3 linked regions of the Diceros bicornis minor genome follow. The protein of the gene in region 1 interacts with the protein of each later gene in a biochemical or structural test. Links are inferred from orthologs where the notes say so. Each region holds a gene or a part of one and is shown in the gene's direction. Other genes may lie near its edges.

Evidence for each region.
Region 2: the proteins of FGFR1 (region 1) and FGF4 form a complex in vitro, tested with the Homo sapiens proteins (2 studies listed by BioGRID and IntAct, with this or other methods). The link is inferred for Diceros bicornis minor from reciprocal best matches to the Homo sapiens genes FGFR1 and FGF4.
Region 3: the proteins of FGFR1 (region 1) and NCAM1 form a complex in vitro, tested with the Homo sapiens proteins (2 studies listed by BioGRID and IntAct). The link is inferred for Diceros bicornis minor from reciprocal best matches to the Homo sapiens genes FGFR1 and NCAM1.

The regions. Positions count from the first base shown.
Region 1 is NC_080768.1:35,047,642-35,051,382, reverse strand, and holds the start of FGFR1 (fibroblast growth factor receptor 1), read left to right. Parts: upstream 1-936; 5' UTR 937-1,557; intron 1,558-3,741. UniProt on the Homo sapiens protein: Tyrosine-protein kinase that acts as a cell-surface receptor for fibroblast growth factors and plays an essential role in the regulation of embryonic development, cell proliferation, differentiation and migration.
Region 2 is NC_080770.1:4,397,286-4,401,026, forward strand, and holds FGF4 (fibroblast growth factor 4), read left to right. Parts: upstream 1-995; 5' UTR 996-1,293; coding exon 1,294-1,633; intron 1,634-2,246; coding exon 2,247-2,350; intron 2,351-2,822; coding exon 2,823-2,999; 3' UTR 3,000-3,223; downstream 3,224-3,741. UniProt on the Homo sapiens protein: Plays an important role in the regulation of embryonic development, cell proliferation, and cell differentiation. Required for normal limb and cardiac valve development during embryogenesis.
Region 3 is NC_080746.1:23,382,267-23,386,007, reverse strand, and holds the start of NCAM1 (neural cell adhesion molecule 1), read left to right. Parts: upstream 1-1,197; 5' UTR 1,198-1,397; coding exon 1,398-1,449; intron 1,450-3,741.

The DNA.
Region 1 (3,741 bases):
GGCACCACGGAGCCATAAAAAAAAGTACAGACTCTTTGCTCCTTCCTGGGACAGCCTGATTCCTCAGGTCTGAGCAGGTCCAAGAATATGTATTTTTCAGAAGTTCCTCAGAGGACTCATGTACATTTGGATTAGGGAACCACTTAGATTATACCATCCTATGGAAGGACCCAGGGGAAAGGGCATTTTAGCCACTTTTCCTGGGGTTCCATAGAGTGCTGGAGAGTGCCCTGGGTGGGAACGGATTAATTTCCAAACTAGCAACACCCTCCAGCTCCCTCCACTCATTCTTTACTTTCGAAACATTTACTGCAGGCTGGAGACTTCTGGAGGCCAAGAAGTGCGCTGTAGAATTTACCGGACCCAGCTCCCCGTGGACCCCCAAACCAAAACTATGTAGCTGGGGAACGTGAGATGGAAGGAGAGGGTCTGAGGAGGGGTTCGACCTTCTCCTGAATAAAAATAGCTTGTATTTCTTGAGTAACTATGTGCCAAGCCCTCACTTAATCCTCAACCCTATGCGGCAAGTATTATTATCGCCCTTTTACAGATGAGAAAACTGAGATGTCGAGTGAGAAAAGCATTTCTCCAAGACACACAGTCAGACTTCCAAAGCCCGTGCTACCACGGACAACCTTCGGGCTACAAGTCTCCTAACCTCACCCCCTAACCCGTTAATGTGTCCACGGCTTGAAATTCGGGCGCCCTCCTGGCGGTGCTCAGATGGAGGGGCACGCGCGCCAGAGGAGACCAGCGTGCAGGGAAGGAGGGGCAGAGTTCCAGGCAGCTCCGCCGGCTCCCCCCTTCCCGGGGGCCGCGGCTCGGGAACTACAAGGCCCAGCAGGCTGCTGCAGGGGGAGGAGGAGGAGGTGGGACCAGCGCGGGGTGGGAGTGAGAGAGCGAGCCCTTGCGCCTCGCCGGCGCACAGCGCTCGGAGCGCTCCTGCGGGCACTGGTGCGGCGGGCTCGGCAGCAGGCGGCAGCGAGCAGGAGCCCGAACTCTGGTCCAGCCGCCGCGCGCGGAGGAGCCCGGGCTGTGCCCGGAGCTGGGCGGCAACGTCCGGAGAGGACCGAGACTCTGCTTAGCGCATTGCGGCGACCTCGCCTTCCCCGGCCGCGAGCGCGCGCCGCAGCTGGAAAAGCAGCGGAGACCGAGGACTTTTCGCTGGTCCGAGGGGCGCCCCGCAGGGCGCACCGTACCAGGGCTGCAGTCGGGCACGCCGCGGCGCCGGGGCGATGGAGCCCGGTCTGCAAGAAGCTTGAGGCGCCGCCGCCCGGTTCTGGAAAGGGGGGCCACAGGGTCTGGAGACCCCGGGCGGCGGACGGGAGCCCTCCCCCCGCCCCGCCTCCGGGGCACCAGCTTCGGCTCCATTGTTCCCGCCCGAGCTGGAGGCGCCGAGCACCGAGCGCCACCGGGAGTCGAGCGCCGGCCGCCGGGCTCTTGCGGCCCCGCCAGGACCCGAGCGGAGCCCGGGGGTGGCGGGCCGGAGCCGGGGACGCGGGCGCCCGCACAAGCCACGGCGGACTCTCCAGAGGCGGAACCGCAGCGCCGAGTGAGGTAAGAGCCGCGGCGCCCCCAGATCCGGGGCGGGCTTGGCGTCCCGAGCGGCCCCCGGCGCCGGAGCCTCCCGGCTGCGCGCTCTCCCCACCGAAGCCCAGTCGGATCCGGCGCCTCCCTCTACTCCTTACCCGCCCCCCTCCAACTCCCGACTCCCCCCCAGCGCTCTGCGCCCCCCTTTTGTCTCCCCTCCCTTCCCTCCGCTCGCGTCGCCTCTGCGCCCCCTCCCCGCGCTCGTCCCGCCGCTCCTCCTGCCGCCCAACTTTTCCGCCAACTCGCGCTGAGGAGCTGGCGAGGCGGCGGCGGCGGCTCCGCGGTGAGTCCGGGGAGGGACAGGGCCGGGGCGAAGGCGGCAGCCGCCCTCAGTGTCCTCGGACTGGGGAGGAGGGCGGGAGTGGGCAGCGAGAGGGGGAGTGTGTGTGTGTGTGCGCGTGTGCGTGTGTGTGTGTGTTGCATTCCACTCCGTCTCTTTTTTGAATTGGGGACTCACCCCAATTCAGCAGGTAGCTTTGGGTGGAACCCTAAAAATTCAGGGTGTTTCTAAGTCCTTTTCCACCTCCGGGAAAGTCTGGGGTCGGGGTTTGGCGGGGGGGCGCATGATGAGGCAAGGAACTGGAGGAGTAGGTTAGCTTCTCTCCGATTAGGTTTTAAGGAGGTGTCGTCACCAAATGGCTGCATCTGCTTTAGCGGAGAGCGAGAAAGGAATTCCCTTTTCCAGAGGGGGTTATCTTCTATTTAGTCCATCTCAGAAAGGGTCGGAAGTTTGGGGAAGGGGAGGGCGCCCAGCGGGTGATGTTAAGCCCCATTATGGGGTCGGGGGGAGGGGAATGTTCAGTTCCAATCTGGTTCTAGGAGGTGGGGGAAGGGATGAGGGTTTTGTCCGGTGCGGTTCACTCGGCAGCGATGCATGTTGCTTCTCTGGCCCAGACCCTTCTGCCCCCTGCTCCCCTCTCGCATTATGTTTGGGGTTGGGAGAGAGGGGCTAGAACCCTCATCTGCAGAGGAATTTATGGACGTTATAGATGGAGTTCATTTAACACATGTCCTATGAAGGCAGCCAGCCGCCTTTGGGGAGGGGGTGTGAGACCAGCTTCTCTTTTCTGGGCCCGGAAGCTGTTCGTCCATTTAAAAGTTTCTGGGTGTCTTTCACCCCCAACACTTTTCCCCCCATTTTCCAGATGTAGCGGCCACATCTGGTTCCGTTTCTCCCCACACGGGTACACCGCAGCCACATTATTAACATCCCTCTTCCTCCCTTCTCTCTCCCCCAGATTAAAACTGAGATTCTTCGACTGGTCCTTACCACCTTCCTCTGTAAAATTTCTTAAGACTTGGAGGCTTTGGGATTGAGGGAGAAAAGAAGGTTACCCTGGATCTCGGGTTATTTAGGATCAGATGGTGGTGGTGCTTTCTAGCTTGTGCAGAAAAGAGGCATCGTGGGCAGGATCGTAGGAGATAGGGCCAAGGTCTTAGGGGGTGTCACTTGCGAAAGGTTCATCTGCCAGAGGTGGCCTCTTTGGCCATGGGTCTGACCCACAACTGTCCCTGACGGAAGTTTCTGGAACCAAAGCGTTGCTTTTTCGTCCCTTCAGTTACAGCTGGAGCAGCGGGAGCGTCGGACTCTGTCCGGAGCCCGCCGTCCGGTCTCCGGCCGCCCGGCGGTGGCGTCACGCGTCCCTTTTCCACCCTCTCTGGAGCGAGCCCGTGCGCGGCGGCCGAGGGTGTGTATGGGGGCGGGGGCTGTTGCGTGCTCCTTTGCGTTTTAAGGAGCTATTTGGGCTGCAGTCCCCGGAAATTGAAGTGGGCCAGTTTGCCACTTAAATAACGGCTCCAGGTTTGAAAGCAGGGGTGGGATTGTTGAGGAGGTTTTGGTAAAATCCTTTAAGGTAGGAAAGCACCTTATGGCCCAAAGTGGCGGCAGGGTGGGGCGAGTTGGTCTCTCTCACCCTCTCCTTTCCAGTCTCTTTCAAATTGAAAACACCGCTCTGGTTTCCTCCTTTGGGCGGTAGTTTTGGAGGCTGTAATGAAATCGCACTTTCTCTAGACATGGTAATTAACGTGCCTGTTTCCTCCGCACATGTGCCCTGCCCTTTGCACCTCCGGACCAGCGCTTTTTTTGGAATACCATCTAAACTGTAGAACCTTAGCCTTGAGACTGTTTAGCAGAAGGTGGCCATTTTCCCC
Region 2 (3,741 bases), on another chromosome or scaffold:
GGCCGCCAGTAGCGGAGCACACACACTTAACCGCTAAGCCACAGGGCCAGCCCCAGAACAGACATTTTCACACCTAGGTGAGCCAGCATCTCTCCGGGCCTCTAGTGAGTCCCGCCCCCATCAGGCCATAATGGGCACAGTGGGGTGTGGGGACAGCAGGTGGGGGAGGGGAGTTTTCCAGAGGCCTGCCAGGGTCCCTGCTAGGTTGGGGGCTCTGGCTATGGCACTTGAACGTTCCTGCTTCGGAATCAAAGGGGATGGGGACAGTGAATGTCCCCTGCGCCCTACCACCTGTCCTTGCATGGAGGTGGGTGTAGATGGGGTGCAGGGCTGTGGCCTCCCCTGGGTGCAGCCCCACTCCTCACCTCCTGCCTTCCCTTAGCAGTGCCTTCCTGGAGGCACCTGCTCAGGCGAAGCCACCACCTGGGATACAGAACTCCATCCCTGAATCACCCAGAGCGCAGGGGGCCCAACCCAGGGCTTGCCTCTCCCCGGCCTGCAGCGGCTGGGGTCTTCTTCCTCCCCCAGGCGCTGGTGTTGCTTCCTGCCTCTACCCACCCCTCATTCCCAGGTGGGACCGCATGATCCCCGCCAAGGAACCAGGTTCCTGGGAGTCCCTGAGGGGCAAAGCGCAAAGAGTGGCTGCTGGGAGCTGAGAGTGCTGAGGGTGCCGGCTTAGGGCGGCACCCAGGCTGCTGGAACAGAGGCTAAGAGGACACACAGATACGGGACGGGGAGGGACGAAGCACGAGGGAAAACTCTGGCTGGAAAGCAGGAGTGGAGGAGATGCGAGGGGCGGGACAAACAGGTCCGTGGGCCGGGCGAAGCCAGGGGTGGGGACTGGGGACCCTCCAGGTGGCACTCGCAGCGCTCGTCCCCGGCCGCCACCCCTCCCCCAGCCCTGATTGGCAGGCGGCCTGCGACCAGCCGCGAGCGCCACAGCGCCCCGGGCGCCCAGGCGAACGCGAACGGCCCCCCGCGGGAGTAGGAGGGGGCGCCCGGCTATATATAGCGGCCTGGCCCCGGGCCGGCCCAGCGCGCAGGGAGGCGCGCACCGCTCCGCAGGGTCCCAGCCCGGGTTGTGCGTCCTTCGGCCGCTGCCCGCCGCTCCATGCAGCCCGGGTAGCTCCCCGCGCCTGGGGGCCCCGTCGCTCGCTTCCCGCTCCTCCGTCGGCCGCGCACTCCCTGCCCGCCCCAGGCCGTGCGCTCCCGCGGGCCGCCACAGGCGCAGCTCGGCCCCCCGGCTTCCCGGGCGCACGGACCGACTGACGGACGCACGGCCCGAGGGCGGGGATGGCGGGGCCCGGGGCGGCCGCGGCGGCGCTGCTCCCGGCGGTCCTGCTGGCCCTGCTGGCGCCCTGGGCCGGTCGAGGGGGCGCCGCCGCGCCCACCGCACCCAACGGCACGCTGGAGGCCGAGCTGGAGCGCCGCTGGGAGAGCCTGGTGGCGCGCTCGCTGGCTCGCCTGCCCGTGGCCGCGCAGCCCAAGGAGGCGGCCGTCCAGAGCGGCGCCGGCGACTACCTGCTGGGCATCAAGCGGCTGCGGCGGCTCTATTGCAACGTGGGCATCGGCTTCCACCTCCAGGTGCTCCCCGACGGCCGCATCGGTGGCGTGCACGCGGACACGAGCGACAGTGAGTGCGGCGGGCCGGGCGGGAAGGGCCGGGGGGCCGGGGCGGCGGCCGCTCCTTCCAACTCGCGCACGAAGGTCCCGGGCTGGCACCTGCTCGCGGGCTCTGGGAACCGGGCGGTCTCGGGTTCCGGTCCCCCTGGCGCAGGGACGCAAACACTCCAGGTTCCGGGAGTCGCCGCAGGGACCGGCTTTGCCACCCCGGCGGCCGAGTCCCGCCTCTCCGCCTTCGGAAGCCCAGGCTCCTGGCGCCGAATTCCAGCGCCTTCGCCCGTGGGCATAGGGCGCACGGCGCAGCCACCGGCGCCCGCGGGGTCCCGGGACGCACGCCCAGGTCGGGCCCGGGCCCGGGGGCCGCCGAAGTCGCCTCCCTCCTGTTGTCCGGGACCGGGCGCGGCCGCCGCGGGTCCGGGACAGGCGGCGAGAGAGTCCGCGCCCGAGGTCGCTGGGCTCCGGGGGCCCTTTGGGTGCAGCCTGCGGCCGATATCCCGGGCCCTTTACACCCACCCCCACCCCAGAAATGGGTCCTGGAGGTTCGCAGGCCGATGAGGGGGTCCGGGACGGGCGGTGCGGGCCAAAGGTCCCTTGCCCGGGAATGACCCTCGCCCCGCCCCCAGGCTTGCTGGAGCTTTCGCCGGTGGAGCGGGGCGTGGTGAGCATCTTTGGCGTGGCCAGTCGGTTCTTCGTGGCCATGAGCAGCAAGGGCAAGCTGTACGGCTCGGTGAGTACAGCACCGGCCGGGCCGAACCCCCGGCTGGCCAGCGCGGGCAGCGTCGCTCGCCTACCCGTGGATCGTGGAACTGCGGAGGGGTCCCAGGATTGGCACTGCCCTCACCCCGCCAGAGGCCCCGGGGCCAGCCCGGAGAAGGGGGCGCTATTCCAAGACAGGAACAGTGAGCTTTCCGCCATCCCTGCGTGTCGGTCAAAGGGTGCCACTGGGAACCCTTGTCTGTAGCCTCTGGGGCCGGCCCGGCGGGCAGGACTGCAGTCTTTAGGGTGGACACAGTGGCTGCAGGTGCTGGGCAGGTGGCTGGAGCATCAGCTGCTGTAGCCTGACTGTGTGAGGGTTTGGGTACCCCAACTTCCCAGGAGAGACTTCTCAGCCAAAGGGGGGCGGCTGGGACAGAAAGGAGCCCCCAGGGTCCCTTGGCCAGGAGGTGGCCCAACCTAACACTGCTCCTCCTTCCCCCCAGCCTTTCTTCACCGACGAGTGCAAGTTCAGAGAGACTCTGCTCCCCAACAACTACAACTCCTACGAGTGCCACAGGCACCCCGGCATGTTCATCGCCCTCAGCAAGAACGGGAAGCCCAAGAAGGGGAACCGAGTGTCACCCACCATGAAGGTGACCCACTTCCTCCCCAGACTGTGACCCCAGAACTCTGCCTCAGCCTCAGGAGGCCGCCAGAGGGGAGCGCCAAGGACCACCTGGGGGCACTTTCTTTGGATGGACAGTTGAATGCCAGAGTAGGTGTAAGATATTTAAATTAATTATTTAAATGTGTATATATTGCCACCAAATTATTTATGGTTCTCTGGGTGTGTTTTGTATTTTTCTGGGGGAAAAAAAGAAAAAAACAACCCTGACTTTTCTGGGGAAACAGTGGAGATGCTTCCACTGGATTTATGGAATGTGTCAGATGTTGTCACAGTGTGCTGCTATTCTGTGTTTTAAAACTGGTCACATCAGACTCTGATATCAACCCAGCTTTGCACCGTCCCCTGTAGTTTGGGGGTGAGTATCCCTGTGGCTGGAAAGACCTTCCTAGGGCTTCGGAAGCCAGCCAAGGAAGCTCCCAGTCTCAGCCCCTCTCCTCGCACCCTCCTCTGCCCCACTCTTTGTGCCCCGTTGCTATGAATCAGGACATATCGGTTTACTTCGGGGACAGAAAGTGCACTGCCAGTCCCCTGCTGCCTCTCTGTTTTTAGATCTGCCAAGACCGACCTTTGAACTTTCCTGTAGTCAATCTTCCTCCATCTACCAGATGGGGGAGATCCTTGGACAATTTTATAAACTCCTGTTTTCCTTTTTGGGATCAGCCACAGCCCATGCTTCTCTGTGGCCATTGGGGAAAAGGCAAAAACGAAGCAATTTTGTAAATTGGAATCCATAT
Region 3 (3,741 bases), on another chromosome or scaffold:
GGTGCTGGTCTCTCCAGTAATAGAAGCTGGCTGGTCAGCTAGCAGAGGATGGGTTTTCAGGGAGTAGTATAGCAGTGGAGAGCCCGACCTTTAAAGAAAAAGGGAGTACGTGGTAATATGGGTGCATTGGTGCTTCGAGCGTTGGCAGCCTTCCTCTGGGAGGGGTTCACCCCGCTAGGCTAATGGGTTCTTCCAGCATCTAGAACACTGTGAGCTCCTGACTCTTCCTCACCTTTTGTTTCTTAAACACTAAAGACTGGCTCAGGTGCTGAAACATGTTGATTTTCGCCCTGCTCCTCCACCGTCTTCTGTTTAAAATACAGCTATAAGATTTATTGAAACCCTTTGTGTTGGTACCTCAGTGGTATTCTACATTAATATCCTTAAAAATTGAGGTTGTGTGCCACTGTAAGAAAATATTATTTAATATCGTGCCTCTACCATAAAACCTACATAAAAAGCCTTGGTGATCTTCATAAAGAGACCACAGATTTCAGCATTTATAAACACGAAAACATTTCCCTTCGGTTATTTCTAGAAATTCCTTCTAAACATCTGCGTTTTCTTCTAACTTAAAGTCGTTTCCCATCTCCTCTCCTGAGATCTGTTGCCTCTCTGTGGAAGAGGAAACTTCATAGCCGGTATAACACAAACAAACAAGCAAACAAAAACAAAACCTCTCAACAGCAATTCCTATCCGTCTCCAAATTTCTAATTTCTTGCACTTACAAAAAAAATTAAGTCCTAGGTTTTCCTTGTGTTTCAAGGATCTTGGGATCTAAATGGACAGATTCAACAACTTTGAAAACCTAACCAAACCTAAGATTTTGTTTTTATTATTTATTAGTTATTAAAATATCCAGCCTTCTGATTAAGGAAGGCTGAATGGCAAGAAGGACCGCGGAGGCGTGGCGGAGAAGTGTGAAAAGAAGAAATCCCAGCTCTGCCTGGAAGACAGCGTATGAAGGAGCCCGACTCCTCCGGCAGTTCCAGGCCGCGTTTTGCAGGCGGCCGCATCTGCCTCCCCTGTCTCTCTTACCTCCTTGATGTTCGGCACTATTTGTGGCCGGCGTGGTGGAAGGACACAGTGAGGTTTTCACCCCCGCCCCCCGCCCCCCGCTCCCATCCCCAGTTCCATCAAAGCGAACCCGGGCCAGCGCAAGGATCTCCGAGTTGCGAGTGTGCTGAGGCTGGGACTGTCACTCATTCTCTGATCAGCGCGTGAACGCAGCTCGGCAGCCGCTGGCAGGAAACAATTCTGCAAAAATAATCATACTCAGCCTGGCAATTGTCTGCCCCTAGGTCTGTTGCTCTGCCGCCATCCACACTCGCTGCAAGGGGGGGGGCGGCACAGAATTTACGGCGGCAAGAACATCCCTCCCAGCCAGCAGATTACAATGCTGCAAACTAAGGATCTCATCTGGACTTTGTTTTTCCTGGGAACTGCAGGTACATTTTTTAAATTGTTATTATTCTCAATCTGGTTTACTCATTGTCTCCCTCCCCTGGCTCTTTCCCCGAGGAACACTGTTATTTCGGATGGTTTTACATGGAATGCTAAGGGTGGTCATTTCCATTAAGCTGAGGAATGAGCGCGTCGCCCTTGCTGCCCAGTCGAGCCCCGCGCTCTCCTGGGCTGCGCTGGACAGGGGCTGCCTCCCCGCGCAGCGAGCGGCGGGCGCCCCTCCAGCGTGTCCGCCCTTCCCACTTTGTGTGTCCGCGGCGCTGGGAGCGGAGCCGCCCGCTCTCAGGAACGCTGCGGCCGCGCCGGTGTTGGGCAGCGCTCCTTCCCCGAAGGCGGGCGGCGGGGCGGGGGATGCGGCTGCTCGGTGGTGCCACCGCACAGGCTCGGATTCCGCCGGGAAGGGGCTTGTCAGCTCGGGCTCCGGGAAGAGTGAACAATAAGGCCGGGGAAGCCGCCTCCGATCGTTATTTCCCCAGGTCTAATAAAGTGGGGCTCGCCGCGTTCGCGCCCCCACCCCCCGCCCCCCCGCCCCGCCCCGGGCCGAATAGCGGTTTGCAAAATGGGGCGAAATGGGCAGAGTCTCAGGGCTGTGTGACCGTTGTTGCACCCCCATCGATATGACGTTAGTTTTTCATTTGCCAAATTGCTGGTTAGTTGCAAAGCCGGCTCTCGGTCCGGAGCACCGAGGGATGGGAGGGTCGAGCGCCGCGTTTTGACAGGAGGAAGTGAGGAGGGGCGGAGGGCGTGATCCGGGATGCCCGATGTGTGTGTGCGCGCGTGTGCCTTCACACGCACCTCGAGCCCCGTGTTGCACGGTGCGCGAGAAGAATGGCAGGTAGCCGCCCGAAGCACCTCGCCCCAGTCTCCTTTCTTTGGACGGGGTTCCTTATCCTTGCAAAGTGCGAACAATAGGGAGCTGGGAGGAAGACTGATGCTGCCATGGGTGGCGGGGGCTGTGCCGCCGCCCAGAGAACCTCGGCGGCCGGGAGGGAGGTTCATTTCATTTTGAGTATTTCCATCCCGGCCTCCCTGGAAGATTCTTCTGTGCGTGCCCACCCTCCCCTCCAGCTGCTCCCGCCACCCAGCCCCACCCCACCCTACCCCAGGATTTGTGCTTTGGACGGGAAGGGATAAGAAAAGGAGCAGGGGCCGCCGAGAGCTGGGTGGGGTGGGCGGACATTCTGCGCGAGGGGCGTGTGCTGGGGAGCGCCCGAGGAAACCCGGCGGAGGGGGCTGAGTCGTGGTCGCCGCTGCCAGGTGCCGCTGGAGCTGCTCTAGACGGCCGAGCCTGGGTGGGGGAGCGCGCAAGGCGGTCGGGGAGCACCCAGCGCGCCCCCTCCCCGGGCGGCACGAGAGCAGCGCTCGGCCGCCGCCTCCAGCCAACTCGGGTCCCTCCCTTGGCGACCAATCAGAGCGAGGCTGGCTGGGCGGGAAGCCGCGAGAGGCTTTTATTGCGGCGCGGGTGGCGGCCCGGAGCTGCCAGGACCGTCTCCCGGTGTTCCAGCCTAACGGTCTCGCTCATCCCCCGCCGGGAGGAACCCCGCCCTGCGGCCGGTACCCTGCTTGCCCCGCAGTTTCCGAGGAAATAAAATGGAATCCAGGTGGTCACTGGCAGGTGCCCGCCCACTCGCACCCCTTTCACGCTGACTTGGAGCATCCTCCCGCCGGCTTCAGCACACACTCCCGCCGCGTAGTCCCGACCTGAGCGCGTGGATTTGGAGAGCGCCGTGGCAGGGCGCTCCGACGCGCGTGCGCCGACCGGCGGGCAGTGGGCTGTGGGCGAAGCTGGGGGCGGGGCGATGCGGGGGCGGGGCCTCGTCGGGCGGGGGGTGGGGGGCCGGCAGAAGGCCAACGCCGGTCCGCACGTCGCTGGGTCCCCGCCGCCACCTGGCAGGGGGCCGCCCGGGGCTTGCCTTTTTCCATCGCGCCCCAGGTCTCCGCGGCACGACCTCCAGGCTCAGGGGTTTGTGTTTCTGAGACTTTCTCCCCTCTAGGTGGGGGCGTGACAGTGGAGACCTGATCTTTGGTGGGCCTTTGGGGGATTGCCCCGCAGTCCTTTCCGTCATCGTGATGAGTGTAGCCCTCAGTGTTTGGATCCCCGGGGAGTTGTATGCGGTACACGCCCAGGGAATCCCAGGTTGAGACGTTTGCAGCTGTCCAGTCAAAGGTGGTATTCTGACCAATGTTCCCTGAAAGGAATGCGTCCTCATTTCTGGCCCTAGTACTGTGAGGATGGGAAGAAGGCAGAGCATGAAACATAAAAGATTGCATTGCTT